Pelodiscus sinensis: one gene and its partner. The protein of the gene in region 1 interacts with the protein of each later gene in a pairwise test. Links are inferred from orthologs where the notes say so. Each region holds a gene or a part of one and is shown in the gene's direction. Other genes may lie near its edges.

Region 1 (16,099 bases):
TCTTCAGATGACCGGTCTACATGTTTTGCTAGTGCTACCAGACTATTTGTTGTTTTTTTCTGTAACAGACTAATTCAGCTACCCCCTGAAGCTTCTGTTTTCAGAGAGTAGTTATCAATGGTTCACAGTTATGCTGGAAGGGTATAACAAGTGGTGTTCAGGGATCACTTTTGGGACTGGTTCTGTTCAACATCTCCATCAATGATTTAGATCAGGGTTACTCAACTTCGGAAGCCCAGGGGCTATAATGATACAGCACATGCGAAGGGCCGCAACTTAAGTGTGATTTGCATATACATGCAAATATATATGCAAAGAGCTTCTTTCATACTGATGGGGAATGAATACAAAGATTAAGACAAGAATACCTCCCATGCAAACCCCATGTAAGTCAGTTCTGTTGCTATTAATAAATCGCAGTATTTACCCGATTTCCACTCATTTGACAGCACGTTTAATGAGCAATGACAACCCAGGAATTTAGCTACTAAAACACATATCAGAAGAGCATTATATTGACTACTTTTTTGTTTTGGCTCCCACCCGCGGGCCGCAAACAAATGAGCCGCATGTTCAATAAACCTGATTTAGATGATGGTATAGGGAAGATGCTTATGAAGTTTGCAGATAATGCCAAGATGGGAGGGGTTCTAAATGCTTTGAAGGATAGGCTTATAACGCAAAATTATCTATTCAAACTGGAGCAATTGTCTGCATGTGTTTAGCCTGGAAAATAAAAGACTGAGAGGGGACATAACAGCTTTCAAGCACCTAAAATACTGTTACAAGGAAAGGGAGAAAAAATTATTCTCCTTGATCTCAGATAAGACAAGAGGCAATGGGCTTAAATTGCAGCAAGAGAGGTTTAGGTTGGACGTTAGGAAAAAACTTCCTGTCACGGTAGTTAAACACTGGAATAAACTGCCTAAGAAGTTTGTGGAATCTCCATCATTGGCGATATCTAAGAGCAGGAATGGTCTAGATAAGCGGTCACCAGTCAAGACAGATTTGGATCTATTGATAAATCCTGAAGCTTCTGACATGCGATCTTGACTGATCTGACTGGGGAAGGCTAATCAAATGCCGGCAATTCACCTGCCCCCCCCACCACCATCATGCTGCTCCTGTTCTCTGTGTGGGATTGTCAGCCGATGGTCAGGGCAGTGCGTGGTATGTGTGTTATACACTCGAGTCTTCAACTGCTAGGATCGAGATCCCTTCACAGCGGGCAGCCTAGGGAAGTCTGACGGGCGCCCCCAAGAGTTTGCAGGGAGAGTGTGTCACATCCAAGTCTTTAGCTGCTAGGATCGGGGTCCCTTCGCAGCGGGCAGCCTAGGGAAGGCTGACAGATGCCCCAAAGGATCTGTCTCGTGGAGGCAACATGATCCAAATGCATCTGCCCCATGACCAGCTGGAGTTCTTTTGTGTTTGGCTCTGTTACAGCAACAGGAGGAGTCAAGTTAAAACTTCAACAGTTAGGCTATGTCTACACTGGCGGCTTCTTGCGCAAGAAGTCTTGTGCAAGAAAACGTTAACACTGCCATCGGCGAGCTGTGCTTTTGCCCAAAAGCATCCATGGCAGTGTAGTATTTTGCGCAAGAAAGCTCTGATGGCCATTTTAGCCACAGGGCTTTCTTGCGCAAGAAATCCCTGCCAAGCGTCTACACTGCCCTCTTGCGCAAGAACTCCTGCACAAGAGGGCTTACACCTGTTAAAAAAGAGCGTAGCTCTTGCACAAGGAGCCCTCTCTTACCATGCCGTACTGTAAATTTACTTGCGCAAGAGCGGGCGGGCAGTGTGGATGCTCTGCAGATTCTTGTGCAAGAACGGCTGTACTTGCGCAAGTTTTCCGTTAAAAGCATTTTCGGAACAGAGCATCTAGATTGGCACGGACGCTTTTCTGCAAAAGCACTTTTTGCGGAAAAGCGTTCGTGCCAATCTAGACGCACTTTTCTGCAAAAAAGCCCTGATCGCCGTTTTCGCGATTGGGGCTTTTTTGCGGAAAACAAATCTGAGCTGTCTACGCTGGCCCTTTTGCACAAAGGTTTTGCGCAAAAGGGACTTTTGCCTGAACGGGAGCAGAATAGTATTTCCGCAAGAAGCACTCATTTCTTACAGTAGGAAGTCAGTGCTTTTTCGGAAATTCAAGCGGCCAGTGTAGACAGCTGGCAAGTTTTTCCGGAAATGCGGCTGATTTTCCGGAAAATCTGGCCAGTCTAGACACAGCCAGTTTGTATTATGGGTAGGGCTGGGGGAGGCTACCACACACACACCTTGGAGACAGTGCTGGGGGGTAATCAGGGAGCTAACCCAAGGCAGAAATAAGCAAAGGTAGGTTCTTCATGCTCAGGGCAGGTGGTAGAAAGGGGTGTTAGAACCTAACTGTGTCTACATTGGCACGATCTTGCGCCAAAGCAGCTGCTCGCGCAAAAACATGCTGCCTGTCTACCCTGGCGGGGAGTTCTTGCGCAAAAACACTGATGTTTTAATGTGTGAAATCAGTGCTTCTTGTGCAAGAACTATGATGCTCCCGCTCAGGAATAAGCCCTCTTGCGCAACTGTTCTTGACAATTTTTAGAATAGTCAACACCTTTTTTTAAAACATAGCACTGAGATAATATCCTGCAAATATTTACACTTGTGCGTAACTTTACATGCTCAAATTATGGCATTGGCTTTAGGTGGTGAAATCTTGGCCCCTCTAAAGTCCGTGGCAAACCACCTAGGTTGGATGTGGAATAAACATTTTTACCATTCTTGTCTTTGGGGGTTTTGCTAGTAGGAGTGGATTTCTACTGTCCTTGTTGCTTCTCTGGTAGGTTACCATTTATTTCAGGAGTCTATATTTTTTTAGTTCATTGGCGCAAAAGCTCGTATCTGGCACAACAGCACAGGATCTTTTACACAGATGATGTGTAGGTCTCGTTCCTTTAGGTATATTTTTATTTGGCAAGCACTGTGGAATGGACATTTCCTTAGAGGGATTTCATAAAATAGATTTCTGCACGTGGTAGGTTAACTTTTTCCATGAAGTGTTTATTGAGGACTTAAATAATGTGTGAAGCTAGCAAAGACAAACAATTTCAACCATAATTTAAGCCAGTAAGAAAAGGAGATGATTAGTATTGTTTTTATTATCAGAAAGACTACCAAATGCTCACACACTGTTCATATTAAGTCACCTCTCTAGGTGGTAAGTACTGTAGAATAATGTCTAGGAGAAGTAGTGCTTGAACATTGCTGCAGTCAGGGTACATTTTTGAAGGAACAGATAAAAGCCAATCTTTTCCTTATACAATAAATGTAGCACCCCTCTGAGGTTATTGAGAACTTATTCAAGTCACAGAGATATTGTATGTGGTTTAATAACACAATTAAATGAAGATAAGAATGAGAAGTACAAAATTGGCTTAACTTATTTTACTGTAAAGACAAGGTTCTTTCCTTCCCCCTCCAATACTCTTTTTTACATCCTCACCAATGTCATTGCCACAACGTAGGTGGAATATTGTCACAAAGACACAGTAAAGTATAAAACCTTGATCACAGTAGCCCCATTTAATATCTGAAGATTTAATTCAGTTTTAACACTCTCATATGGCTAATTTAATTTTATTTGCTTATGCAATGCATACATGAGGTGGCAAAGTTTTATTTATTGCTGCTCATTGTATTTGTCACAAATCATGCCTTCTAATTTCCCAGATTGTGTTTCTGATGAAGTTGTATCAGATCAGTTATGTACTTCCACCATTATATAATCATTATGACTTTTCTTAAAGACTTCCACCTTTGCTTGCTTTGTGTATCACCACAAGAGGCAACATATCCACAATCTATTCTGAAGGGGAAAAATAATCTCCTCTCCTAGGCTGTGTCTAGACTGGCCAATTTTTCCAGAAAATCAGCCGCTTTTCCAGAAAAACTTGCCAGCTGTCTACACTGGCTGCTTGAATTTCCGCAAAAGCACTGATGATCTCATGTAAGATTGTCAGTGTTCTTGTGCAAATACTATGCTGCTCCTGTCTGGGCAAAAGTCCTTTTGCGCAAAAGGGCCAGTGTAGACAGCTCAGATTTGTTTTCCGCAAAAGAGCCCTGATCGCAAAAATGGCAATCGGGGCTTTTTTGCAGAAAAGCGCGTCTAGATTGGCACGGATGCTTTTCCGCAAAAAGTGCTTTTGCAGAAAAGCATCCGTGCCAATCTAGACGTTCTGTTCCAAAAATGCTTTTAACAGAAAACTTTTCCGTTAAAAGTATTTCCGGAAACTCATGCCAGTCTAGATGTAGCCTTTGTGTTTCAAACCTGTCTCTTTATTGTACAGACACATAATTTCTATGGAATAAGGGGGGGGGGGATCTTAAATTTTGGTAAAACCTTGCTTAATTTTTTTATGTATCTGTTTTCTGGATTAAGTGTGTCAGTCACAACTAGAGAAGATTTTTTATAAAGTTTATAAATGCAGTTAATTTATCAATGCATTTAAAAATGCTACTAAAGCAAGACTGTCAGTTACCAATGTCCACTAAGTAAGGGGTAGTGCCTAAATTGAGTTGCAATTGGGTTCTTGGTTCCCCATTTGCTGTCTATTGGTCCTATATTGCCACTTGTTAGTACAGTATCTGATCAACTTCCACGTGAAATCAATAGCACTAGAGCCCTAAATGACTTCATGAAGGCTGTCTACACTGGGCCACTTATTCCAGAAAATCAGCCGCTTTTCCGGAATAAGCTGCGAGCTGTTTACACTGGCCCTTGAATTTCCGGAAAAGCAACGATGCTCTACTGTACAAAATCAGCCGCTATTCCGGAAAAACTATTCTGCTCCCGCTCGGGCATAAGTCCTTATTCCGGAACACTGTTCCTGAAAAGGGCCAATGTAGACAGCCCAGTAGTCTTTTCCAGAATAAAGCCCCAATCGCGAAAATGGCGATCGGGGCTCTTTTCCGGAAAAGCACGTCTACATTGGCCACAGACGCTTTTCTGGAAAAAGGGCTTTTCCGGAAAAGCAGCCTGCCAATGTAGATGCTCCTTTTCTGGAAAAACTGAAAACTGAATAGTATTCCGTTTTAAGCATTTCCGGAAATTCATGCCAGTGTAGACACAGCTGAAGTGTCTAGAATTTTTTTCAGAGTAAAAATTCTGTTTGGGGTAAGGTATCTTGTGTTTGCTTAGGTGAGTTGTAGAGGTTTAGAAATAGAGGATGAAAGTAATCTGCTTCAGTGGGGAAGTATTCTGCTATTGATTAATACCGGTGGGTATCAGGAAGGAATTTTCCGTCAAGCCAAACTGGCAGCGACCTTAAGAGGTTTTTCACCTTCCTCTGAAGAATGTAGAGAGGCAGGTTATGTGCTGCTACCTACAATGAAGGTAATCTGGAGACGGGGAAAGCACTACTGTATGCTCCTGCACTTCTCTGCACTCGTATGCAGAGAGCAACAATCCTGACCTTAAAAAAATGCTATTGTTTTAAAGTAGTCTTCTTTCTTCTTTGTAAATTCATATATTCAAAACAAGCTTGTTCTGAAAATCATTGATTACATTTAAGAAAAGAAAGATTGTATAAAATAATAGTGATGCCTATATTAAGAATAATGCTAACGAGTCATAATCCCAATCCTAGATCCCAAGATCTGGGCACTTTTAAGTTACCATAATCAATAAAGCAATGCCTCCCCAAATGTTGGTGAACTGTAATGGCTACACTGGAAAACAGACGTGGTTGGTGAGGTACAATACAAGCTGAGTTATCCAGCACTTGAATATTCAGAGTTGGTTAACTGGCACCTGTCATAGATGGCAATACAATTACTCCTTCAGTTAACCAGAAATTTGCATTTGCAGAAGTCAAGTTTGCATTAGTAAAGTTTGTTCACACTTTGTACTTCTGCATATAATACCACTATCTGATATTATCTAACCCATCCTGGAACTATGGCCAGTGTATGGTAAAAAATTCATGAACCATAGTGTAAAGCTGAAGTAACTGGCACATTTGATTAACCGACAACCCCCAGTTTCCCATGAACTAGAGATGTTAAATATCAGTTAATTGAATAGTCAAGTAACCTCATGAATTCTTATCAGTTACTCGACTAGTCTATAGTGGAGCCGACAGCCAGTGAGGATCCGACCTGCCACTGAGAAGACCTTTGCCACTCCACGCTTCTGTCTCTAGTAGTGTTGCCAACCCACAGAAATTTCATTTATGGACAAAATGGGGAAAAAATTTATGGACATAATTTTTATACTACATTAAGACGACAAATAGCCAAACGTGAAAGTAATTGTCCTTTATACATCACAAGTACAATATGCTATTTAACTCACTTTCATTTAGTTAGTCATGGTCCTGAAAGTTTTTCACTGAGCTAAATAAACAACTAAAACGTTCAATTTCTGCTGCTCCACAGTAAAATGGCTGAAGCAGCACAGAAGAAATTTAATTGCTATAGAATCATTGGTTTTTGAAATTTTATTGCACTTTTACAAAATTTATGGATACCTACTGTTTTTTACAGACATGTCCAATTCCAGCTAATTTTTTACTGACTGTAAATTTGTGACAGTTAGCAACCCTGGTCTCTATCTCACAGGCATCAGCGCAGGGTGCCAGGAGGGAGCTGATCCATGAGGGGGCCAGTTTAAAAACCAGCCCCCCTTATGGACTGGCTGCCTGTTGCTCCGTATTGCTGCTTCTGGTACCGAAACTGAGCCAGGCTGCCTGCCTAGCTCCTAATACACTTTAAATGCAGAGCCACAGTTGGGATAGGTCCCTGACCAAGCTGGGCTGCAGGCCAGACTTATAAAAAATTTACTGGCAAAGGTGTGGGGGGAAAAATACGTGTAGTCTATCGCATTAACTGATAATCGATTACAACACTATTATACTGTTACCATGAACTCCGAGAAACAGAGCTTGTACTGTGGTATATTTTATCAGACCAACTTGTATGCCTGCAGTGCTCTTGTTCAGGTCTGAGAAAGGTGCTGAGAGCGTCTCAGATGAAAGCAAGGCGGAAAGGTAACTCACCAAGCTCCCTTCTTGTCCTGTCGTCGCGGCTGATGGGCCCCTCTCCGGCTATGTCTACACTCGCGGCTTCTTGCGCAAGAATCTATTGCCCACCCGCTCTTGCACAAGGAAATGTACAGTACGGCGCGGTGAGAGAAGGCTTCTTGCTCAAGCCCTACGCTCTTTATCAGGTGTAAGCCCGTCTGTGCAGGCGGCAGTGTGGACGCTCGGCTGGGATGTCTTGCGCAAGCGAGCGGCCGCACTGCCAGGCACGCTCTTGCGCAAAAGCACAGCGCACAGGGCCGCGCGGACGTGTTCTTGCGCAAGCGAGCGGCCGCACTGCCAGGCACGCTCGTGCGCAAAAGCACAGTGCACAGGGCTGCGCGGACATGTTCTTGCGCAAGACGCCGCCAGTGTAGACGTGGCCCACCCAGCCGACGGGCTCCCAGGTGCTGGGCAGACCCCTTGAGAGTGACGGGCTGCTGGGGGCAGCCCCATAGCCCGGGCCGGGCGCCAGGCTCGCAGGGGAGGTCAAGCAGAGCGCCCAGGCTGGCGGGGGGCAGGAGCCGGAGAGCGCTGCCTGAGGGAGCCAGGCTTGGCCTAGGCAGGGGGGTTGATTTGCGGGGCTGCAGGAGGGCGGGGGCCTGAGCCGGGGAGGGGGGGTTGCTCGTGTAACAGACGCAGGTGCGGCGGCGGGGCCTGGGGCCTGGTCCGCCCCGAGCGCGGGCCTGGGAGCAAGGCCCGGCCACTGAGCGCCGCCGCGCGCCAGCCCAGGCCTCGCGCGCCAGCAGCCACTCGCCACCCGCAGCGGTTAACGGCCCAACCGCCACTGGGGGGAGCTGCCTAGCCCCGCCCCCGCCCTCTGGGCCGGGGAGAGGCAACTTGGCCTCGACCTCGGCGCCTGCGCAGCCCACCCCACCTCTCCCCTCCCGAGCTGCGCGCGCGCGCCCCCGCCCCCTGGCTTCAGGCAGCAGCGCTCGAGCCCACCTGAGGGTATCGCCAGAGCTGCGGCTTCAGCAGAGGTCACTGGGCATGCGCGCTCTTTGCGGGCATGCGCGGTAGCGCCCCCCTGTCAGGCCGTCTCCAACAGGCTGAGCCGAGGGGGAGCGGCCGCCGGAGCCGGGTGTGGAAAGGGGGAAGGCCAGTCTCGGGGTGCGGGCGGGCTATTTAAGAGCCGGGCGAGCTTCTCTCCTTCCCGTCCCGGCAGGGAACGAGGCGAAGGCTGGCCCCGCCCCCGCAGCGTGTCTGAGGGCCGGCAGGGAGCGAGCTCGCCCTGCGCAGGCCCAGATATGGCCACCCGGAGTCACGTGACTTACCCCGTTCCCCCACCGCTTCTTTCCCCTCGGCTCCCCCCGCGCTTCCTTTCCCAGCGTTCCGCGCGCCGCCCTCTGCCCCCGGAAGTCCGGTTCCGCCGCTGCCTGGGTTCCAACTGCGCGGGGCCGCTTCTGCATCCCCACGCGGGGCCATGGGAGTCCCGGCCTTCTTCCGCTGGCTCAGCCGCAAGTACCCCTCCATCATCGTGCACAGCGTGGAGGAGAAGGTGAGGCCCGCCCCGCCCGCCCCGGGGACCAGGTCCCCTCCCCCGCGTCTTCCCCCCCCCCGGCCTGGGGACCAGCCCCCCCCATTCTACTCCCCCTTCCCATTGTCCCGGGCCAGCGGCCCCCCTCCCTCGCGGGGCCTCCCTCCCCCTTCTGCTCCCAGCCTGGCACCGCGTCTAGCAACGGCGGAGCGGGCCGCATCCGAAACACGCGCGGGGGGGGAATCAGCTCCCCGCTCCCCCCCCCAAACTCCTCCAGTTTTGTTTCTCCCTCCTCCCCGCTGCTGGGCTGGGGATCGGCTCCTGTCTCGCTGCCGCCTCCCCTCCCGTCCTGACTCTACTCGACCACTTTGCTCCCTGCATTGCGGGGCGCAGGCTCCGTGGAACACAAAGTCCCGGTTCCCGTTTGTTCCACTTAGGCTGGGTAACTACACACGGGGCTTCATGTAACCGGGCAGACTCCTTGGTAGAGCAGGGAGCCCCCTCTTCCCCCGGGTTTGGAGCTCTGGCCTCATCTTTAGCTGTACCTGGGATGAGCCTGCTGAGGGAGGGAATACAGCTAGTAGCCACCCTGTGAGCCTCAGCAACCGCAGAGCTGGGGCTCCTTTGACTTTTTTGCAGTGTGTTTGTGTGTGTGATGGATGTGGCCCCACTCAGGGTGGTCTTCCACTCACTTTGCTAGGCACAGTACAGGCATTCAACAAAGACACGTCTTCTCACTTGTGAACAAACCCAAAGCACTAAGAAATTGTACAGATTTGTGATATTATGTGTTGTGCTAAGGTGTACGATTAGTTACATTTTGATATTATGGCGAATTGATTTATATCTAGCAAATGTGGCTGTGCCTTATTTATGCTGTGACTCTGTGCAAGTAATCACAGTGAAGAAGCTGAATAGTGTTGTCATCCAACTGCCAGCACCTGCCTCTTTTAGTCTTTAAATTGAAGCTCAAAGCTTTCTTGTCACGTGGCTGCTGCTGTTTTCAGAACATTTGGAAACTGTGCCTTTTACGTACTGTTTCTCATCATATTTTCTGCAAAACTCAAGAGAACTGAACTTTTTTGCTCCTAATCTAAAGTTAGTATCAAGTAACTGTTGGCATTCCTTTTCCTGCACCCTCCCAGGATTGCTCATTTTGTGTAGCACAGAAGCTAGCACTTCCTATTTGTTATAAACACTTTGTCTGTTTATGCCATTGCCTTTTATTGGCACTCTCATTAATGACAACTCAACATTAGCTACCAGGAAATCATTATTGCTTAATGACTGCCTGGGTGATGTGATAGCTGAAACTGAATCTGGAGGTCTTTAGCAGTCTGGTCATTAATGGCCATGAAATGCCTGACCTGAAGGTCACTGTTGCTGCTATTCAACTTAGGAAAAATGTGAAAAATAAATACTGTTGAAAAGTTGAATGGCCTAATGCTATGGAGAGAGTGTTTTGTTTACAGTGCTGATTTCTTCTGGGCTGTTAGGCTGAACAGTAACCAATGGAAATAGTCCATACGATTTATGATAGCAAACGGCAGAGATCACAAAGGTTCTATCTTAGTGTGTTTAAATCCTATAACTACGAACACTTCTCAGCTGCAGAGTTTTAGGTTTTAAAGTAACAAACTTAAATGTACTTTTACAGTATTGGTCATACACAAATATTAGTGCTTGTCAGAATGGTTTGCAAGTAAACTTGTGTAGATAGTTTAAGGATGGAAAATGGTATAATGGGAAAGTTTGTTTGGGGAAGAGTGGTCAGAGATGTATTTTGGTCACTTAATCTTTTCTCCTGTATAATCCTGAAATCACTTAATCATGTTTACATTCTCTATTTCCTTGATTTTTATTTTTTATTTTATTTTTTATTGAGAGGTGTAATTATACTCTAACTAGAGATGTGGACAAGTAACTGGTTATCTAGTCAACATCATCCTTACTGGGTGATGCTTACTGGATAACAGTTATCTGGCTCCCCGGGAGCAGCCCCTCACCTGTGGCATACTGCTCTAGCCACACAGGGCTGGTGCTGGGAGCTAGGGCTGGCGCTGGGAGCCGGCCCTGGCAGCCAGCCTGCATAGGGCTAGGAGTAGGAGACCCACGGGCTTGAGGGATGCTCCAGCTGGCCTGGAGCGGTGCTTCCACCGAGGATCCCGTTAGTTAAACATTTGGTCGGTTAACTGACTATTTAAGTGGTATTTTACATGCCTAACTCCCATCTCTTGTTCATTCTGCTATTTAATTGTTAGTTAGGAATTTGTAAGTGATTACAAATCACTATTTTAATGGAGGAGGTGCTGGGGTCTGGGAAGGAGGTTGGGTGCAGAAGGGAGCTCGGGTAGAGGATTGAGGTGCAGGATGTAAGAGTAGTCGATTACCTCATAAGCCTAGGTTTATTGGGTAGTTGAGTTGACTACTTGCTTTTCCCCCCATCCTTGCTGCCTCTGTATCCAAGGCAGCAAGGGGGGGCGGAACAGGAGCCAGTGCTGGGGGAAGCCGACTTAAAAGCAGGTGCTTCCTTGCACCATCTCCGATGCTGCCTGTTAGAGGCAGCAGTGGGGAGGGTGTAGGGGAGGCTGCCAGGGAGCAGCCGGTAACTGCAGTGGGCCCAGGCTCGCCATGGGCAGAGGCTACTCTGGTAGCTACTCTGGTAGCAGCCTCTGTTCATGGGGATCCCAGTGGGGAGCTGGGGCCCCCCATGGACGGGGCTGCTGGACCCGATATGAGCCGGGACTGAGCAATCCCAGCTCAGTCCTGGTTTGCACGGGGTCTGGGAGATTATCCCCACTTTGGCTCTGCAGTTTAAATGTAGTTGTGACCAGGGGCAGGGGTGCAGAGGTTTTGGGTTGTAACTTAGGACAGGGAGTTGTGGGGGGAAAGGAGGGAGCGGGGTGCCAAGTGCAAGCTCTGGCTGGGAAATGCTTACCATAATCTGCTCCCCTCCTGCAATGCAGCAAGACCCTCATGCAGACTCCCTACCTGCTGTGCCCCCACACGCCACTCAAAATGGCAACTGCTGGGGCCACATGCACATCTGTGTTGTGCGCCCAGGGGGCTTTGCACATGCATTATTATCGTGCCCCCTCTGTCTTTTCTCCAGATTAAACAAACCCATCTTTTCCTGTCTTTCCTCGGGGTCATGTTTTTGAGACCGTCAGTGATTTTTTGTTGTTGCTCTTCTCTGGGTTTTCTCCAGTTTGGCTAGATCAGGGGTCGGCATCCTTTTTAACCCTCCTACCCTGGACCATGCCACCCTCCTGGGAGGGAGATGAGGCTTTCTCCACCGTGTGCCCCGTGGACCACCTGGGTCAATGCAAATCTTTCTGCTGACTACCAGTTGCTAATGGAAACTCACTGTTAATTACATAATTATGCCCAAGCCATTTTGCTAATGCTGCAGCTGGGGAAAATGGTTTAATTTCAATTATTAAACAGATTAAGCGTTTTAGCTTTCTCATGTTTGTTTATCAAACTTCGTTTTAAATTAAAATATTCTTTTCAACACAACAGGTTTCAATGTTTTCTCTATTTATGGCGGGGTAGGGAACCTGTTTTGGGCCACAGAAAAATCGGTTGGGGACCACACAAGTGAGAAGCGAAAAAACTCCTCCCCAAACTCCCAACCTTCACTGATGTGGCTCCCAACTGAGACACCTCACTCCTCTGGCAGTCCAGCCCCCACGGGGTGAGGGGAAGGGACTGGAAGGACTGAGATTCAGGGCTTCCCATAGGCCAGATTTATTTTCCTGGGGTTCCAGAGTTAGTGAATTTTGTGGCCCCCCCTTAGGCTCTGGGGTGGGGACAAAAATGAGTGGTTCAGTGTGTGGGACAGGGCTGCCAGCGAGTGGGATAGGGATGTAGGGTGTGGTGATGAGGGCAGGATCTGGAAGGGAATTGGGAGCAGGAGAGAGTGTGGGACGGAAGGGGGTTGGGGGAGTAAACCAGGGAATGTAGAAGGGTGAGAATACAGCCAAATAGTTAGTTGGGGAGGGAGGCAAAGAAGTGGGGAGTAAAGGAAAGTGCAGCTTCTGCAATGTAAAATAGTAATCCCCCCTCCTCACATCTTCCCTCTGCTCCAGACTCGCTCCCCTCAGCCCCATTATATCCCTCCAGCCTAATCCCCTCAGCCCCATTATATCCCTCCAGCCTAATCCCCTGTATTGCCTATGTCCCTCAGTGCAACCCCTGCTCCCTTCCATCCTGCCCCCACAGCCTGATCCCCTGCATTGCTCCATGCTCCCTCAGTCCAACCCCTGCTCCCTTGCATCCTGCCCCCCACAGCCTGATCCCCTGCATTGCTCCATGCTCCCTCAGTCCAACCCCTGTCCCCTCCTATCTTGCCTGTGCAGCCTCCTTCACTCCCCATCCTGCTCCCAAATCACTGTGCCCCCAGTGCACTCACCAGCAGTGCTGAGGCGGGGTGGGGGGTGGCAGAATCTCTTCCCTGCCCAGATCAGCCCTTTGCCTGCAGGCTGTGGCTCTGGAGCTGGGACAGGCAGAGCCTGGGGCTGCCCAGGGTTGGCTCCAGCCCAGCCAGGCACAGAGGGGTGCTGGGGAAGGGTCTCCCGGTGTACCACATGTGCCAGCTGCCCAGCCCCGGCTCTGCGGAGCAGGCCCAGCCCTACCCCCTCCCGAAGCAAGAAGCCCGTAGCCAGGAGGCAGGGGTTAACCACTTAGCTCCTGGGAGCTGCATGCCCAGGATCGGCAGGGGCAGCCCCAGGAATGTGTGCGTATCTCCCCACGCACATCCCCAGCAGGAAGCCTGAGCTAGCGCTCCAGCCTGTAGCTGTGAGGCTGGGGCCACAGCCTGAGGTCCTGGCTGTGCTGGGGGGAGGGGTGGGGCTGAGCTCCAGCCCATGTGCCACGGGAAGTCGGCGTGCGTGCGTGCCGGGGGTTGCTGACCCCAGTCTAGATGTTTCCTGAACTGCGATGCCCAGAATTGGGCGCAGTACTGCAGTGGCAGTCGAATTGGCACGGATAATAACAGAAGAACGACTTCTTGTGTCCTGCTTACAATACTCCTGCTAATAAATCCCAGATGATGATGATTTGCAATACTGTTACTCCGGTTGTCTCCTTTAGCTTATGAGCAGCTGTGACTCCCAGTCCTTTTCTGCAGGACTCCTTCTGAGGCAGTCATCTCCCCACGACAGACAGGTATAATAGGTGGGGGAAGGCACTGCCTTCCCAAACCGCCAAGCTGGCCCACCCTTTCTCTGCCCCCAGAACGCCTGCGGTAGCATATTGGGGGAAAGGGGAAGGAGTGTTGCTGCCCCCCGAGCATCTGCCCTCCCTATGTTCCGGGGCCAGGGAGACTGGAGCCACCTGTCCTCCCCATGGTGCTGGGGTGGGAAGGTGGCTTGGCTCCCTTCTGGGCAAGGCCTGTGCAGAAGGGGTGGGGTTGAGGGCTTGCCCTGTCTTCACACACCGCACATGCATTTCCCATTTTCTGTTTGTGCAAGTGATTGGTCTAAGTGGAGTGCTTTGCCTTTGTTCTTACTGAATTTCATTCTGTTTGCTTCAGACCATTTCTGCAGTGTGTCCAGATCCTTTTAAATGTTATACCTCTTATGGACTCAAAGTAAATTTGCCATAAACTAAGGATTAGATCCCATTGTTCTTACATAAAATGAATAAATCCTGTTTTCCATTGGACATTACATAAGGTAAATTTATTGTATACATTTGAGTTGAATCTTATGGAAGCGTCTCTCTTTTTGAAATGTTAACAAGTAGATCCTTCCTTTTCCTCTTTAAGAAGACAGAGGAAAAACTGCTAATCTTAAATCAAGCAGGAAGACTAAGAGGAAGAGCTTGAAGATACTAGAAAATCCTGGGGAAAATATTAATCAAATCCACATAACCTAATAAAACGGTAGCTACAATAACATAACTGGAGATCTATTTTAATTGTTTCAAAAGAGGTTCTATGAACAGTTTAGTTCAGCCAACAGCTTGCAAGCCGCATGCGGCTCTTGCCCCCCAAAATTGTGGCTTACGATGCCGCTCCTGTCCCCGCAGCCCCAAATGGCCCCTGTCGACTCCCCCGGCTTCCCTGTGCTTACTGGGTTGGAGCTGTGGGGTTTTAAAAATGGTGCCCAAAATGGCGGCTGTCTTAAAGGGGCAGCCTCCTTTTAATTAAAAAAAAATTTTTTATGTTTTTGCTCGACAATTCTGTTGTGGGGGCCTTTTTTTCCCCTTGACAATTCTGGTGCAGCTCTTCACATTTTTTCCACCGCTGTTTTGGCACGCTCTGTTAGATGGGTTGGCCACCTCTGGTTTAGTTATATCATGAGACAACATTCACCGATGCTTCAATCCATTGCAAGACTATTTTTCATTGACAATTTGACAGCATATTGGTTATGTGACCATTTAAGGGCAAAGTTATAAACCAATCTGCTTTAGAAAATCTTCAAAAAGAGCCTGAATATAAGCAAAATACAGTATTAAAGGTGAAGCAAAATATCAGCTGAGGGCAATTTTATGTTCCATACCATGTAGTTTGTAAGCCTTTTGCGCATGAATCAGTTAGCTGTAGTGAGAGGTCTGACTGAAAGAGCAAATAGAATTGAAGAGGACAACTATCTTGTCCCATTATTCATTCTGAGTATATACTGGTTTAAGTGAAATTCCCAATTGACTAGAAAAATGGTGCTGTAAATCTTTGTTCAAAGTTAACCACAGTTGTTTTATGCTAATAGACCTTGTCAAAACTATCCAATGGTTTTTGTTTAATTCTCTGTCACATAATCTTATTTTGTGATTAGTCAAATAATCTGAGATGTACCTTGACTGATCTGGGTGCATAATAGAAGGGAGCATCAGAGAAAGAAAACTTAGTTTAAAAAAGGCTGAAATTTTATTAATTTGATTATTTTTGTAAACATTGATTCTTGCTTCAAGGGAAAATACTGGCACAATTCCTTGTTTTCATGAATATGGATTATCTGTAAGAGATGTGAAGCAAGATTTTTTTTTTTTTTTTTTGGTATTTAAAATTGGAGTACAAGTTCTTCGGGACTTGGATCATGATGGGTGGTAATTTCTGGTTTCAGTTCACTTTTTGAATTGAACTGCCCATAAAATTGTCCTCAGCTGATACTTTGCTTCACCTTCAGTACTGTATTTTGCTTATATTAAGGCTCTTACTGAAGATTTTCTAAAGCAGGTTGGTTTATAATGTTATCCTTAAATGCTCAAATGACCAATATTCCAATGTGAAGTCTTATCCAGAAACATCTACATTTGGGAAATTGATGATTTCATTTAAGTGTAGTCAGTACCTAAAATTAACCTCAAATTTTGTAAAGGTTTTTTCAGAGTAGGGATGTGCTAGTGTAAATGGGTTAACTGATGAGCCAGTATCAGAGGCAGTAGTGCAAGGTAACAGGCGGGGACTGGTATGCACAAGGAGCTGGCTTTTAAACCAGCCTGCACTTTGGAGTACAAAGTGTTTGCTTTTGCATGGCATGTACTTAATATGTATCCATATCTGCAAAAATGCCTGTGGATGCATATATCCGTGGATTTGCAGGGCTTGTATATCAGGCACTAC
Region 2 (15,846 bases), on another chromosome or scaffold:
AACCCCGAGCAACATAGTTATACCAAAATAAGCATGTAGTCATTTGGGGCATGTCTACAGAGCTGCGATATTTCAGAACAACAGACGTTATTCTGAAATAATGTATTGCGTGTCTACACAGCAAGCCCATTATTTCAAAATAAATTTGAAATAACAGGCATCTTACTCCAACTTCTGTAAACCTCATTGTATGAGGAGTAAGGGAAGTCAGAGGAAGAGTGCTCTATTTCAAAATAAGTGCTGTGTAGATGTGCCCAAATTCAAAATCAGCTATTTCAACTTAAGCTATACAATTAGCGTAGCTCAAGTTGCACAGCTTATTTCAAGTGTAGCCCTGCTGTGTGGATATGTCCAATCTGTTAGGGGTGTGAATTTCTCACCCCCGAGATGTATAGGTATACCTATTTAAGTTTCTAGCATAGACCAGCCTAGTTTTGCCTAAAAAATCAGGCCTGGTCTACACAACTGTGACAGACCGGGCCGTGTCCAGGCACCGCTGAGGGCGTCCGCTCAGGGCGAATTGCTCAAATCTGGGGCTCCTTACAGCCCCCAGACTGGTGACCTCTCCAAACAGGCCACAAACCAGTCCCACAGAGTGCTTCAGCAGCCTGCCTGAAGCCTCATGAGCAAAACCCCTCCAACACCCCAGCAATATCCATGCCCCAGATGGCCCCAGACCTCATACACAGGTGGGGGGTCCTAGCACCCAATCCCACCTACCCTGAACAAGTTCTGTCCGGTTCCAGGAAACCAGCCACAGATCTCTGGTCAATTTACCCTTTGGACCTTACCCACAAATCATGCTGGGCCAATCCTTTAGCATCTAACAACTAAAGGTTTATTAACACAAGAAAGAAAAGTATGAGAGTAAGGTTATTAAAGTATAGTACGTTACATGCACCGAATCTCCCAGTTCTCGATGCAGGCTCTAGCAGAGATGTTACAGCTGCTGGTTTAAAAATTCTTATTGCGCATCCTAAGATCAGGATGGGTGCACAGGTCTTTCGGGCTCTTCAATCCCTGCAATGCTGCCTCTGGGATGAAGTGCTGAGCTGAAGACAAAATGGCATCGACCACATGGCCTCTTTATACCTCCTTCCTGGCCTCTTCTTGTATGCAGCCGGTCACCTGGCCCTCAGCCTCTCTCTGCTGGCAGCTCTTAGGTCTCCGCCCTCATGCTTTAGGTGTGTCCTTGGCCCATCGAGTGCCATTGTCCCACAGGGCCTCACTAATCAGCCTGTCCATAGCAATGCTCAACCACATTCAGAGAAATATTCAGCTTCCACACAGATTACAGATTCCTACCTACACACACAGACATTATACACTCACATAAATAGCGTACACAGCATCAGCAAACAACAAGCTCCCATTCAATACCCCACATGGCCCCCTTCTATACCATTGTTGGGGCCAGCACCCCCACCTATGGGTGCAGCCATGATCCAGCTGCTTCCCTCAAATTCCAGTAACGTGACAACAAGGAAAACAATATCCCTGACTGACACTGTTAAACTGATCTAACCAAGGGTAGACAGCACTTGCATTCTCCCATTGTCAGAGCTACTTCTTTTCAGGGAGGTGAATCCCTCCTATCAATAGGTCATGTCTTCACTGAAATGCTACAGGGAAACAGCTTTAAGCAAAGATAAGACCTCAGTGACTACTGAATTTTGTCCATAACAAAATACTGTAAGCTATCCCAAGAGAGGGAATTAAGAGGGTGTAAATATAGGTGCAAAGAGACAATTTTGGCTTCTCAGGTACATTGCCTGGATAGAGTTTGACCAAATAGATTTCAGTTTCCTGTATCATTTATTCCCAAGCAGCCAAGTGTGCTTTACTGCTCTATCATTAATTTACAGAATAAAGCACCGAGAGCCAAACTGCACTGAACAACGTAGGTTATCCTACTTACTTCCGTGCTGTACCTGGGTGCTGATGAGAAACTGAACTCTCCAAAATGTAAAATAAAAAAATTCAGGCAATAATTTATAACACCCTTAATTGTATCTATTTTAGAGTTTCATATTAACCCCCCATCCTGGTGGTATCAGAGGGTCTCCCTGGTTAATTATATTAGCCTACAGTGGGATTATATCACCTTGCTACCCAGACTACAGAAGGGTCATCACAGAGCAGAACTGACCCAAAATTGGGATTGTGACGGAGAGTCAGCCCCTTTCTGCCTGCTAATTCCTTGGCCACCAGCCTGAGAAGACAAATAGCTGCAGGATTTGGACTTGTGTGTCTGTGCAAGGGAGCTCAGGAGCGAATCTCTAGTGGGCTTCATGGAATCTTGATCTCTTCTCCTTTCTTTGGCTATAAGAAGCTCTTCTAACGGGAAGGTAAGAAAATGGTAACAAAAAAAACATTGACCATATTTTTTGAACATGTATTTTTCAACTTCAACCAATAGCTAAGAAGCGCTGATGATCTCATCTCTCCAAGGAATAGCACCTCCCTTTCAAAGCCATGGCTCCAAAGGCTCCAATCTCTCCACATAACAGTTTGATTCCATAAACAACAGAAAGGAATAACTGAACTGCCTCCAGGCAGCTGCTTGTCCCCTTAACTAGTAACACTCAGCATGTGCTGTACTCAAGGCATGGGGCAAAGGAAGGTTGTGCTGATGCATATAAGAGTGAGCAAAAACTTGGCAATTTCACTTGCGATGTAGGCTGCTTCCTGATGCAGTCCCAATGGCTCTACACTAATGAATGCCTTATTATTCCTCTTACAATTATTTGTAATGGGCCGCAGCTTAGTGCTTCTAGGATGCCCCCTACAGGCTGTTCTGCAGAGTCTAAAATATGGCTACCCTTCATAGAGCCAAAATGAGTTGGCTATTTAGTGTGAGAAGATGACTAAAGCAGGATAAAAGAAGCTACAGTACTTTGTGCGGGGTGGTTCATGAAGTATTTACAGACATCAGTCTTACTTCTGATACCAACTACACCAATGTCATTCCACTGAATCTTCCTGCTTTATACTGGCCTGTAATCAGAAACAGGCTACAATGGTCTGTGTTTTTGAAGTGTCCAGAGCTAAGTTCTTTAGCACAAGGTTATATTTAGATGCCACAGATGTTCCTTTGCACTGGTGGGCACTCGTTGAGAGGGCCAGTGGCTAATCATTATACTGAGTTTGGGCATGCCCCTGGGTACACTTAGCCCAGGGCAACAAACAGTTATTGTATTGGATTATGTTCTGGGCCAGTGGGCACACTTAACTGAACACACATGATGGCTACTATCACTGCATTGCCTTTGTCTGTCTACACTGATGGGAACGCTGAACTGCTGGTGTGGAGGAACCAGTGAATTAAATATCTGCATGCCCACTGGTGCAGTTAGCAAATGCTACTACTAATTGTCTTACCTGAAACTTAATATAAGTTCAAAGTACAGCAAGGAAAGTGCTATGAAAATCACTATTGTCACTGAAAAATTCATAGATGAATTTGAAAATGGTCAATTCTAAGCTTGTATGTTGCCAGAACTAAGGAACCAGCTTTGGGGAATAACTGCCCTTTTTCTGACTATTTTACTGCTCAAGACTCTGAATCAGATAGTTCACTCACCACTCTCTCCAAGCTGCTTACCTGTGTGAAATCTAGCCCACAGTTGGTGCTTACTCTGCTCATTAGTGAAGTTATCACCAGATGCTTTGTTAGCAAGAGGTCACTTTGGCTAAATGCCATGGAAACCTCTTGAAATAGTCTGACTGCTAACCTATACATTTCACTTGACATGGTGCAGACTGGTAATGCTGACAGCCTGCAATCACAGCCCAGTACTTACAGCATGTACAAACAACACTGATTGACTCAATGCCAGCTTGGCGACGTCAAAACAGGATTTAGGATGCACATTGAGCATGGATAGAAAATGTGGACTCTTGGTATAATGGCTACCTGGAAAGCAAATTCAGTCCTTTAAGCTAACTATACAAAACACGGTCCTTTCACTTCAGTGCCAGGATATGCTAATAAACTTTGAAATGGCTGACTCTAATGTTAAATCAATATAGATGGCTTGGTTTTCAGAGGTGATGAGAACCCATAGTTCCTATTGATTTCAGTGGGAACCAAGAGTGCTCAGAACCTCTAAAAAATCAGGCCAAGAGACAGAATTCACTATTCCCTCAAGGAAGTGATGCTTCCAGAGCTGAGATCCAGTGTTGGTTTAGCTCCAGTCTGACTGGCATTAGAAACTGAATCCCCTCTGCCTTCAAGTGAGGCTAGCTTGGGTGCAAGTGTAGGGAACCCTTCATTTTTTGCAAGGCTTTTGACATAGTCCCACATGACATTCTCATAAGCAAACGGGAAACATATGGTCTAGACCAGGTGTCTCAAACTCCTGGCCTGTGGGCCATCCACCGCCAGAGCAATTGCACAATCCGGATCAGGAGTCCCAATGGGCTGGGGGTGCGAGTCTTGTCCATTACCATCCCCCAAGCCTTTCCCCTTTCCACCAATGGCACCTCATCACATACAACAGCAGCTGGCCCCCCTCTGCATTCCCTGTGGTGGCAGGAGCCTCAGGGAAGCTGAGTGAATGCGCTCCACTCAGAGAGTTCAGGTGCTGCCCACTGCTGCTGCCATCCCACACCAAACCCCCCTCCCGGAGATCCCCGAAACCACATCCTTGGGAGACAGGGTGCCCTGGGGGCAAGAGGGTGGGATGATGGTGGGACTTAGGGAATGGTAATGAACAGGCTCCCCTACCTCCGGGTCTCCTGGGATAGACTATGCAGTTGCTTCAGCCAAGGGAAACCCCTGGTTTAGATCAGTGGTGCTCAACCTTTTTTAATTCGCAACACACACACACACACACACACACCCCCCCACACACACACACACCCACCCAGTGCTGGAAAAATTTTGGTTGAGGAAAAAAAATTTTTTTGTTGTGGCCCCTTTAATTTAAAGCACCGGTCTGCTCCCGTCACTCCTCCTGCCCCTGCTGTGCATACGTCGGGTGCCAAACTGGGAAAACAAAATGGCGGCCGGCCCAGTGCTGTGACCCCCCCAGGAAGACAGGAGACATCCACAGGCTGCACACTGCTGGTCTAGATTGTTATAAGATACACACACAACTGATTGAAAGACCATACTCACAGAGCATTTATGAGTTGTTCACTGTCAAACTAGGAGAGTGTATCTAGTGGGATCCCTAAGGTGTCAGTTCTGGACCAGGCACTATTCAGTATTTTCACTAATGAATTGGATAAGGGAGTGGGGAGTATGCTTATAAACTTTGCAAATGGCACCAACCTGTGAGGGGCTGCAAGTACTTTGGAGGCCAAGACTGGTACTGAAAATTACCTTGACAAATTGGAGAACTGCTCTGAAATCAACAAGATAAAATTCAATAAAGATAAGTTCAAATCTCTTCACTTAGGATGGAAAATGCACAACTACAATATGGGGAATAACTAGCTAGGCAATAGTAGTATTGCTGAAAAGATTTGGGGATTATAATGCTTCACAAATGAGTCAACCTGATGCAGCAATGAAAAAGGCTAATATTCTGGGGTATATTAACAGGAGTGTTGTATGGAGGTAACTGTCTCCCTTTACTCAGCATGGGTGAGGTCTCAGTTGTAGTACTGTGTCCAATTTTGGCTGCTATGCTTCAGGGAAGATGTGGATAAACTGAAGAGAATGCAAATGAGAGCAATGAAAATGATAAGTTTAGAAAACCTGACCAGTGAGAAAACTGGGCATGTTCAATCTTGAGAAAAAAAAGACTAAAGAGGGATCTAATAATTGTTTCAATATGTCAAGGGCTCTTATAAAGAGGACGGTGATCAATTGTTTTCTGTGTTCATGGAAGATAGGACAAGAAGCAATTAACTTAATCTACAGCTTAGATATTTGGAAAAACTTGCTCCTCTAAAGGTAATTACATTGTGGAATACCCATCATTGGAGGATAGACCAGGGATGGTCTACTTGGTCCTACCAGCGTGCAGGTGGCTGAACATGATGACTTCTCAATGCACCTTCCAGCCCTATTTTACCAAAAGCACAACTGAATATTGAAATGGAACTGTACTTTCTCCCCAGAATAGGATGGTACAGCCATCCGTTTTAAGTTACACAGAGAGTTGCATGGGGAAGATACATTGAAAGTTTTCTCTCCACTTGTCTTGTAAAGAAGACAACAGCCAGAACTATTTAGAGTCCTTCTTACAAACCTCCCAAATGACTGCATTATATGGCTTCCTGTTCGTATACATTTGAAATGAAAAATGATTGCATTACAGATGTCTGGCATATGATTTGCAGCTAGGGTAACTGTTTTATAAGACTGATGGACTAATTATTGAGTTTATCATTTTATTCTGATCTTTTAATAATAATGTACAGAAATGTGGAAGGGCAATTATCCAGGCACATAAAAAGCGATTAAAATGTGTAAAAGCTATTAATGTGTTGTAGTATCAGTGCAAAGTATAAAATGTGAGTGTTTAATGGGTCTGGAGGGCTACCCTATAGGAAACAGAAGATTGCTGTCCTTAATGGAGCCATAGCAGGTGGGAATGGGAACATTTTTAACAATAATTGCTTCTCCCTCTTCTTGTGCTTCTTGGAAATCCAGAGTTGTATAATGGGGATGGAAAAAAAACAACACACCATTCAATGTTGTCATGCAGTCAGCAGTCCCTTAAATGACTGCAAGAATTAGAGTGATCCTGAACAGTTAGGATAGGCAGCACAGGCTGTGTTAACAAGGGAGAACTACAGGTACCATATATGTGATAAATGTGTAGTTTCTCTGTCATGATTTATCAACACTATGCGTAAGACCTGAGCAGTGGGGTGTTTTCTGTTGACCTGTATGGGAACATCTACACAGCAGGGCTAAAGCCAAAATAAGCTATGCAACTGGAGCTACATCAATTACATAGCTCAAGTCAAAATAGCTTATTTCAGCTTTTGGCGCTGTCTACACAGCAGGAAGTTCAAGTTAAAGCATTCTTCCTCTGACTTCCCTTATTCTTCGTAAAATGAGGGTTACAGGAGTCAGAGTAAAAAGTCCTACAACTTGACATTATAGGTCTTTCAACATTATGTAGAAATAACTGCTTGCTGTGTAGAACGTGAACCATGTTATTTTGGAATAACGTTAGTTATTCAAAAATAATGTCGCTGTGTTGACAGTCTAAGAGTTTAACTCAACAGGAGGCTCTCTGGGAAAACATGTCAGAAGGAAAAGAATAGGTCGAGATAGCCACCTCTCAGCAAACACTGAAGACCTATTATGGGACAATGCAAGAACTATTATTAGCTTTGGTGATTTTGCCTCCTCTCCAGCCAATCTACCCAAATGGTTCTTACCAGGACAGGATAAGACCCACAAACACAGGACAAACAAAAGAACTGTCAGAATCAAAAGGGACCCTCTCTAAATTCCATCCCAGCAAGGTAAAGGCAAAAGACCTAACATGTGAGAGAGACCAGAAAAGGGACAGAGGTGCAGACTGTCCTATAATCTGATCATAGGCATCCAGTAGTCTCAATACAGAATCCCTTCTATGTGCATTGCTAGTGAGTCTTGTGTCTTCTCTATAAGAGTCAATACAAACATCTTTTGCCACAAAGAAATTCATGAAGCAGAACCTCACAACCTCTTGTAGAAAGAACGACAACATCTGAAGAGTTCTACACTACTAGCAGCTACAGTTCTAGCCTCTCCTTACCACTTTCCCCACAACATAGCAGTGAGGAAATGAGAAAGACGTATCGGTGAATGGGAATTCAGCGCTCAAATGAGATTCCTTCTTACTCAGAAATAGAATAGTTTACCTCCCAACCTATGCAAAGCTCCAGGGAACCACAAGCTGATGATTCCATGAAGAACTCATCTGCACATTAACCTGTCCAGATTTCGGTCTAGTTTAGCCAATTCTTTTTAAAATCAAGAGGGAAGGGCCACAGTAAAAACAGAGAACGAGAAAAATCCTCACAAGATACAAAAGGAGGGCATATGAATAACAAGGTGCCTGAGGTTTCAAAATTAGTGCCACTAACATTACTGTATAACATTACAGAAGGTGCTGTTCAAATAAATGCCTGCATACAGCATGTTAGGTGTATCTCAAAGGGTTAAGAGAAGTAGATCTTGCTCAGCATAAAACAATGGGGATTCTTGCCTGGGATCAGACTGCATGACAAGGCTATTAGAAGTACTAGTTTTCGAACAAGATATCAAACTAAAGTGACAATGGAAAATCCCACACCATATTATTTAAATAAAGGAGACATGCCCTACCTACATTTCCCCTCTCATAAAACAGTATTGAATGTGCATATCTGTCTGAGAGTCATTGCTGAGCAAACAATGATTAGCAGGTTTGCCTGTGCAGTCATCACAATACCAGTAACTATTGCATTCACCTTGAGAATGAAATGAGCTACAAGTAAACCAATTTTTATTTTAGAAATACAGATTATGCAGTGCCATTTATCAACCCTAGACTCAAATCTGTCAACCATTGTGTAAGAATTATGATGTCAATCTAACATGTGGGACCTTTCTTTTTCTGGGCTGGAATGAGATGAAATGCAATATGCATTTAGACAGTATCCACGTGAGTAGCTTTGGCTCTCTTGAAAGACTCAGACCAAACTGAGCTCTGAGCTCCTGTCTCAAAGTACAACCTATCTTTAAGCAGGAAACTGTTGTCACACTTATCTCATACATATATTAACACTTTGTCTAATAGCTTTACAGTTATTTCAGTCATCCAAAAAAAAAATCCCTCCACAAAACGCTCGGCAAAAGAGTTTTGAAAGCTGCATAACTTGTTTACTTGATTCTTCATTGCAATCCAAGCAAAAGGCTTCATTCACCCTTGTCTCCTTTGATGCATTTAACTCACCTTTCCTGCCCCTTCATATGTTCTGAGATCCTGCCTGCCTAGAATCCTAGAACTGAAAGGAACCTCGAGTAGGGATGTAAAGAGTTAACCGGTTACCTGGTAAGCATTGCCTTATCTGCATGCTTACCAGAGTAACCAGTTAACTGGTGCCTGGCCTGACAGGAGCAGCCCCTACCTGTGGCACATCATTTAGTTGAGCCCTGAATGGAAAGCGCTGCATGATGGAAGATCCCTAGTAGTTGGACTTCAAATTGCCTTTATATTTTCACAGAATTGGGTTTTACCTGTAACAAACTTAACACTGTAAGAGAACCAAGAGACGTGTGTTCATTATTTTAAATACTGTCAGCGCAGGAGAAACCTAACAACTATGCAAATACAGTAGAATCAACAGCCCCATGAAAGAACTAGGCAGTTATGATGGATGCCTCTTCCACAAGGAGCTTCGACTGGAGCAGCGGGCACGCAACGCTCCCTTAGCCGTTCAACGTCCTTCAAGGGGAACAGCGCCAAGGCCTTCCCCGCACTCACCTCACCTCTCCTCCTCCTCCCCCTCCCCATCTCGCCTCTGCCTCAGCCTTACGCATGCGCGCTGCTGGTAGGCCGGATCATACCATTCCTCTAGGGTGTGTGTGAGGGCAATCCCAGATTTGCTTCTGTCCCTGTCAGGAGGTACGGCTCCGCACATCCCGAGCGAGGTACACTGAGGACGGTGTGAGAGCTTCTTTACGCAGATCCAAGCAGGCCACGTTCCCGGCGTTTGCTCTTTTCCGTTCATTTCCAGCTTCCCCCCTCCGAGGGAAGAATAGTTCGCCCCCAGACCGGTCTCTGCCTCTGGGGGCCGGTAGGGCCGCCATTTTGTCAGCGGCGGCTGTAGGAAGGTGGAGGTGTCTGTAACCCTTTCGCCCCGTGTAAGGCCCCCTTCCCCAGCCCGGTGAGCAGAGCAGAGTTAGAGGCAATGGCGTTCCCAGTCCCAACCGCGGCTGGGCCTGTCGGAGCGGGTCGGGAGCCGCGGGGAGTTAGGCCCAGCCCGGAGCTCGAGAGCGGCTGGGCCTGACGGGGCGGGCAGAAGCGCGCGCGGAAGGGCTGGGTGGCGAGGCCTAGCTGCCCGCGGGAGGGGGTGGTGGTTATAAACTAGGCCTCATTTAGGGGTAGCGTATCGGCAGGCCATCTAGTCTGGTCCTCACCCCTTTCTCCGGGTAATGGTTTGGTCCTGACTCCCTTCCTCTGTGGCCTGACCTCTGCTCCCTGTCTCCCCAGTGTGACCAGGACATTTACCCCCCTCCACCTGAGAAATGGTTGGGCCTCTGCCCTCGCATTGTCTGATCCTTGCTCCCCTTCGCTTTACCCCCCACCCCCCGCCCCACTCTACTTTGGTCTGGTCCTTGGCTTTCCCCCTTCTTTTTCGCTTCCCAGCAGTACCTGTTGGCTCATCCCTTCTACCCCGTCCCACTCAGGGGTGCGCCTCGCCTCGCCCCCTCAGTGGGGTGATTGGTGAGATCAATGCAAATTGTAAGCAAACCCTTTATTCACACCCTTTCCTTTCCCAGCATTCCGCTTACATGTCACCTTGCACTTCGTTGTGAGAACGTAACACACACAAAGCTTAGAGAAGATAAAATGCAACCTCACTTGATAGTTTCCTTATGCCTAGCAAAAAAAGTATTGTCGGTGTTTTGCAGAGAAGCTAGGATTAAAAATAAAATTGGAGTAAAAAAATTGCTGATCTCCTCCCTGCTTTTTTTGTTACTCTATTAGTAAAATCCAGCAAAGATGTCCGAATACATCCGTGTTACTGAGGATGAGAACGATGAGCCCATTGAGATCCCCTCAGAGGATGATGGCACTGTGCTGCTATCCACAGTTACTGCCCAGTTCCCTGGAGCATGTGGCCTGCGTTACAGGAATCCAGTGTCTCAGTGTATGAGAGGAGTCCGGCTAGTGGAAGGAATTCTGCATGCCCCAGATGCTGGCTGGGGAAATCTGGTCTATGTTGTTAATTATCCCAAAGGTTTGTTTTTGTTCCATGAATATTTGGTACAGCCATGCTTTCTTAATTACAAGGAATTTTACATCAAGAGCTAGAGATTCCTTATTTTTTGTTTTCCTCTTGTCAAACCATAGCACAACTACAAATTAGTCCTTTTCACATGAATGTGTGTGCCTGACCCACAGAGTGATTTTGAGCGTTCTCATTCATGAGAGTATTATTTAGTATAATTCTACAAGGTGCTTTACTAATAAAACTTTACCTTACTTTTTGTAAGACTTTTAACAATCTCACAGAGTTATCAAAGGTCCTATCCTACAGTGAGTTTTGTGCAGAGCTAAGGTTTGCCCACGTGAAATTGCATGATTAGAACCAATGACATCAGTGTTGTAAGAGAAGGTGTGGGAAAGGTGAAAGATGACCAAAAAAAGAAAAAAAAGAGTAAGGAGAGCATTTTTCCGTTTTCATTTGAGTAGCCATTTTTCAAAGTATATATAATGCATACAAAATCTGGTCAGGCATGTGAATGTTATTTGGCAGTACTTCAATGGAAAACATGCTGAAAGTGTGTTTTTAGATGCATTTGTGTCTGCCTGTCTTCTGAACTTCTATCCCAATACTGTAGGGCAGTTGGATGTGTATTATAACATAATAATAAATATGTATCTTTCCCTATTAGCTTCCATGATACATCCTGAAAGGATCTATCCAGTGATGGGCAGCCTATGGGCTGCATATGGCCCACTGGGATTTCACCTGAGGCCTGCATGTCCCCTATCTGCCCCCTTCCCCATGCCTCTTGCACACTGGGGCACTGGAGCCTATCTCTTCTTTCACCGCCACCTCCCTCCCAGCACTTTTGTAGCGCCATGAATCTGCTGATTCACACTCCATCCCTGCTCCTTCCCCTCCCTCTCAGAACTTGAATGCTATGAATCAGCTGTTCATGGCTGTTCAAGATGGAGGAGGAACAGGGACTGAGCATGAATTCAGTGGATTCCTGATGCTCCAAAAGTGTTTAGAGGGAGGGGGAAGAATAGGATGTATGGGGGGTCCAGTTCTCCACTGTGTGTGAGGCATTCAGGAAGGAGGCAGAAAGCGAGTGCGAGGGCCGCAAGTTGCCCACTACTGGCAATCATGCAGCCCACTCACTAGTCTTGGTTGTTCTTCACTGATCTGATCCTAGTACTATGCTGCTTCTGACCAATGAAAGCAGCTTTCCTTCATGTGTTGTGGAGATAGATGACAGTTTCTGATGTGTATCATTTAGATAACAAGAGAAAAATGGATGAAACGGATGCCTCATCAGCTGTGAAAGTAAAACGAGCTGTACAAAAGACATCCGATTTAATAGTTTTGGGTCTTCCTTGGAAAACCACTGAACAAGATTTGAAGGAATATTTTAGTACGTTTGGAGAAGTTCTCATGGTTCAGGTAAACTCTGTTGCACTTGCCTCTCCACTTAAGTCAGAATTTGAATTCCGTTAACTTAAACGTTTTTCTATTTGAGCCAGTACAAAGCAATTTGGGTAGTATAAAGAGTACATCTTTAACTACTGTAACATTAAAATTTGCTTTACACTATTTGCAGTGTGCTATTTTTTCTTGGGGATATCTTGGTATGTGTTCAGGTAGTTGACCCATATCAAGACTTGTTTCTGAAAAGGGAATAATTCTGTTGTAACAGTGTAAATGAGACAGAATATGGCCCGCTGTGTGATGATTGGGTTTTGTGCTTACATGTTAATTTATTATTACTATTATGGTAGTTGTAGTGTTTTTGAAGACTGAATTTTAAGTTTCATCAATATGTTTTATGTTTAAAGATTTGTTTTATATTAAGATTGGATTAGCACTTTGCCACCATGCATCAAACCCATGCTCTTTTGAACACTTTTTCTGGAATTCACATAGTCTTTTTTCCTATGAACCCATCAAATGCTTTTGTGTACTAAAAAAAGCATCCGGGGTGGGGCTCAGGATGAGAGCTTCAGCTTTGGGGTCAGGATTCGGGCAAGAGGGGCTTACCTTGAGTAGCTCCTGGTTAGCGGTGCATCAGGGATGCTAAGGCAGGCTTTTTGCCTGTCCTGGAACCGGAAACCTTGCTTCACCCCGGAAGCAGCCAGCAGCAGGTTCTAGCTAGTGGGAGTGTGGAGCTAGTGCTCAGGGTAGGAGCAGTGCATGGAGCCCTGTGGGCTCGTCTGACCCCCATCCTCACCTAGGAGCTGGACCTGCTGCTCACTGCTTCTGGGGCACAGTGCAGTCTGCAGTGAAAGGAGGCAGAAAGCCTGCCTTAGCAACCCAACTAATGAACCTGCAGCAATGAGACCCAGTGCCTGACATTCTGCGACCCATAGTTTGAAAACTACAGATCAAGATAATCTTTTTCTCTCTCTTCCCCTCTTCATCTTAGGTTAAGAAAGACATTAAAACTGGTCATTCAAAGGGATTTGGTTTTGTTCGATTTACGGAGTATGAAACCCAGGTGAAAGTGATGTCTCAACGTCACATGATAGATGGAAGATGGTGTGACTGTAAACTTCCTAATTCGAAGGTACCGTTCCTTACATTATTTTAGTGTTTATAGAAACAAACGTGCACTCTTTTAAAGAGTTCTGTTGACTGAAGAAGGGATTAGATGTATGGGAAAATGAAGGGGTGGACTTTGGGCCTGTGTCTAGACTAGCCACTTTTGCCAGCTGTCTACACTGGCCGCTTGAATTTCCGCAAAAGCACTGATAATCTCATGTAAGATTGTCAGTGCTTTTGCAGAAATACTATGCTGCTCCCGTTAGGGCAAAAGTCTTTTTCCGAAAAACTTTTGCGCAAAAGGGCCAGCGTAGACAGCAGAGATTTGTTTTCCACAAAAAAGCCCCGATCGTGAAAATGGCGATCGGGGCTATTTTGCGGAAAAGCGCGTCTAGATTGGCCACAGACGCTTTTCCGCAAAAAGTGCTTTTGCAGAAAAGCATCCTGCCAATCTAGACATGCATTTCCGGAATATCATGCCAGTGTAGACGTAGCCTAAAGGAATTGTTAGGTCAGAAGACAAAAGGAAGGAGTGGAGCCTGGAGGTTAGGTGGGTTGATGCTGATGTGAAGAGATTGAAGGAAAGGTAGGATGGAGGTTTGAGAAAACAACTAGTTAGCACAAGGGAGATATCCAGTCTGAAAACTATAGAAACCAGCCTGATAACATCATAAATATCTTAACAGTTCCTGTTTAAACTGCTTCAAATACTGTTCCTGTTTTGAAGAAGGGAGGCTAGTAAGACACAGAGGATAGGTGACTTGCCCAAGGCCAGACTGGGTCAATAGTAGAGCCAAGAGTAGACCACAACCCTTTTAACCAGGCCTTGCTATATATGTGAGGATTATATATTTTTCAAGTGAAGAATTTACAGCACAAGGAATGGTCTGCCTATCTTCCTGCTCTCCATTTTTAACACACATGCCGTTGGCACCACCCATAGGAGATGCTCTTTGAACAGGATGTTCTAAATAAATCTTCAGTCATCAAAAGAGCTTTAGCTTATGGGTTGTAGATATGGCTGTGGTCAGTATGTAGTGCTGTTTCCATTATTGTCAGCACTGCTGGAACTGCACCACTACCGAAGCAAAGACGGGAGATTTCCCTAAAATTTCCAGTGTAAATAAGGCCTGAGGATAAGGTTGATTCTATCCACTTAGGAATTCCAAGTTCATCCTTGCCATCTTTTTCTCAGGGGGGTACAGTTTTTAATTACGTTATCTCATAGTGTGTACAGCAACTGGAGGGTTGCTTTTCTTTGGCTCTTTCTGTAACTGATATACACCTGGATAACCCTTGTTAATTGTTTCTTTTGTGATAGAAAACTTCATAAGGATAGGAGGATAGGGTCATAATTCAAAATGATCTGGAGAAATAGTCTGAGGTAAATAGGTTGAAGTTTAATAAGGAGAAATACAAAGTATTCCACTTAGGAAGGAACAATCCGTTTCACACATACAGAATGGGAAGGGACTGTCTAGGAAGGAGTACTGCAGACAGGGATCTTAGGGGTCATAGTGGACCACAAGCTAAATATGAGCCAACAGTGTGACACTTGCAAAAACCAACATGATTCTGGGATGCATTCATAGGAGTGTTGTGAGCAAGACATGAGAAATTATTTTGCTCTACTCTGCACTGATTAGGCCTCAGTTGGAGTACTATGTCTCATTCTGGGCACCACATTTCAGGAAAGATGTGGAAAAATTGGAGAAGGTCCGGAGATGAGCAACAAAAATGATTAAAGGTTTAGAAAACATGAGCTATGAGGCAAGGCTGAAGGAATGGGGCTTGTTTAGTTTGGAAAAGAGAAGACTAAGAGGGGACATGATAGTGGTTTCCAGGTATCTAAAAGGGTTTCACAGGAAGGGGGGGGTGTGAATTGTTCTCCTTGAACTCTGAGGGTAGGACAAGAAGCAATCGGCTTAAACTGCAACAAGGGAGGTTTAGGTTGGACATTAGGAAAAACTTCCTAACTGTCACGGTGGTTAAACACTGGAATAAATTGCCTAGGGAAGGGAGGTTGTAGAATCTCCATCACTGGAGATATTGAAGAACAGGTTAGACAGACATCTATCAAGGATGATATAGACCGTGCTTGGTCCTGCCATGATAGCAGGGGACTGGACTTGATCTCTCAAGGTCCCTTCCATTTCTAGGATTCTGTGATACTATAAAAAACTAAGTTGCAATTAGTATTCGGAAGAATTATTACTTTTTTTAAATCACTATTTCTTTTTCTGTGATTCTACCCAGCAAAGTCCTGATGAACCTTTGCGTAGCAGAAAGGTGTTTGTTGGGCGCTGCACTGAGGATATGACTGCAGATGAGCTCCGACAGTTTTTTTCTCAGTATGGAGAAGTAGTAGATGTCTTCATCCCCAAACCCTTCAGAGCATTTGCTTTTGTTACATTTGCCGATGATCAGGTATTTATT

Evidence for each region.
Region 2: the proteins of XRN2 (region 1) and TARDBP interact in binary tests that used the Homo sapiens proteins (3 or more experiments, as listed by UniProt). The link is inferred for Pelodiscus sinensis from reciprocal best matches to the Homo sapiens genes XRN2 and TARDBP.

What each region holds. Positions count from the first base shown.
Region 1 is NC_134713.1:195,830,237-195,846,335, forward strand, and holds the start of XRN2 (5'-3' exoribonuclease 2), read left to right. Parts: upstream 1-8,164; 5' UTR 8,165-8,475; coding exon 8,476-8,550; intron 8,551-16,099. UniProt on the Homo sapiens protein: Possesses 5'->3' exoribonuclease activity. May promote the termination of transcription by RNA polymerase II.
Region 2 is NC_134733.1:11,711,989-11,727,834, reverse strand, and holds the start of TARDBP (TAR DNA-binding protein 43), read left to right. Parts: upstream 1-9,686; 5' UTR 9,687-9,825; intron 9,826-10,649; 5' UTR 10,650-10,664; coding exon 10,665-10,902; intron 10,903-12,151; coding exon 12,152-12,315; intron 12,316-13,294; coding exon 13,295-13,435; intron 13,436-15,666; coding exon 15,667-15,837; intron 15,838-15,846. UniProt on the Homo sapiens protein: RNA-binding protein that is involved in various steps of RNA biogenesis and processing.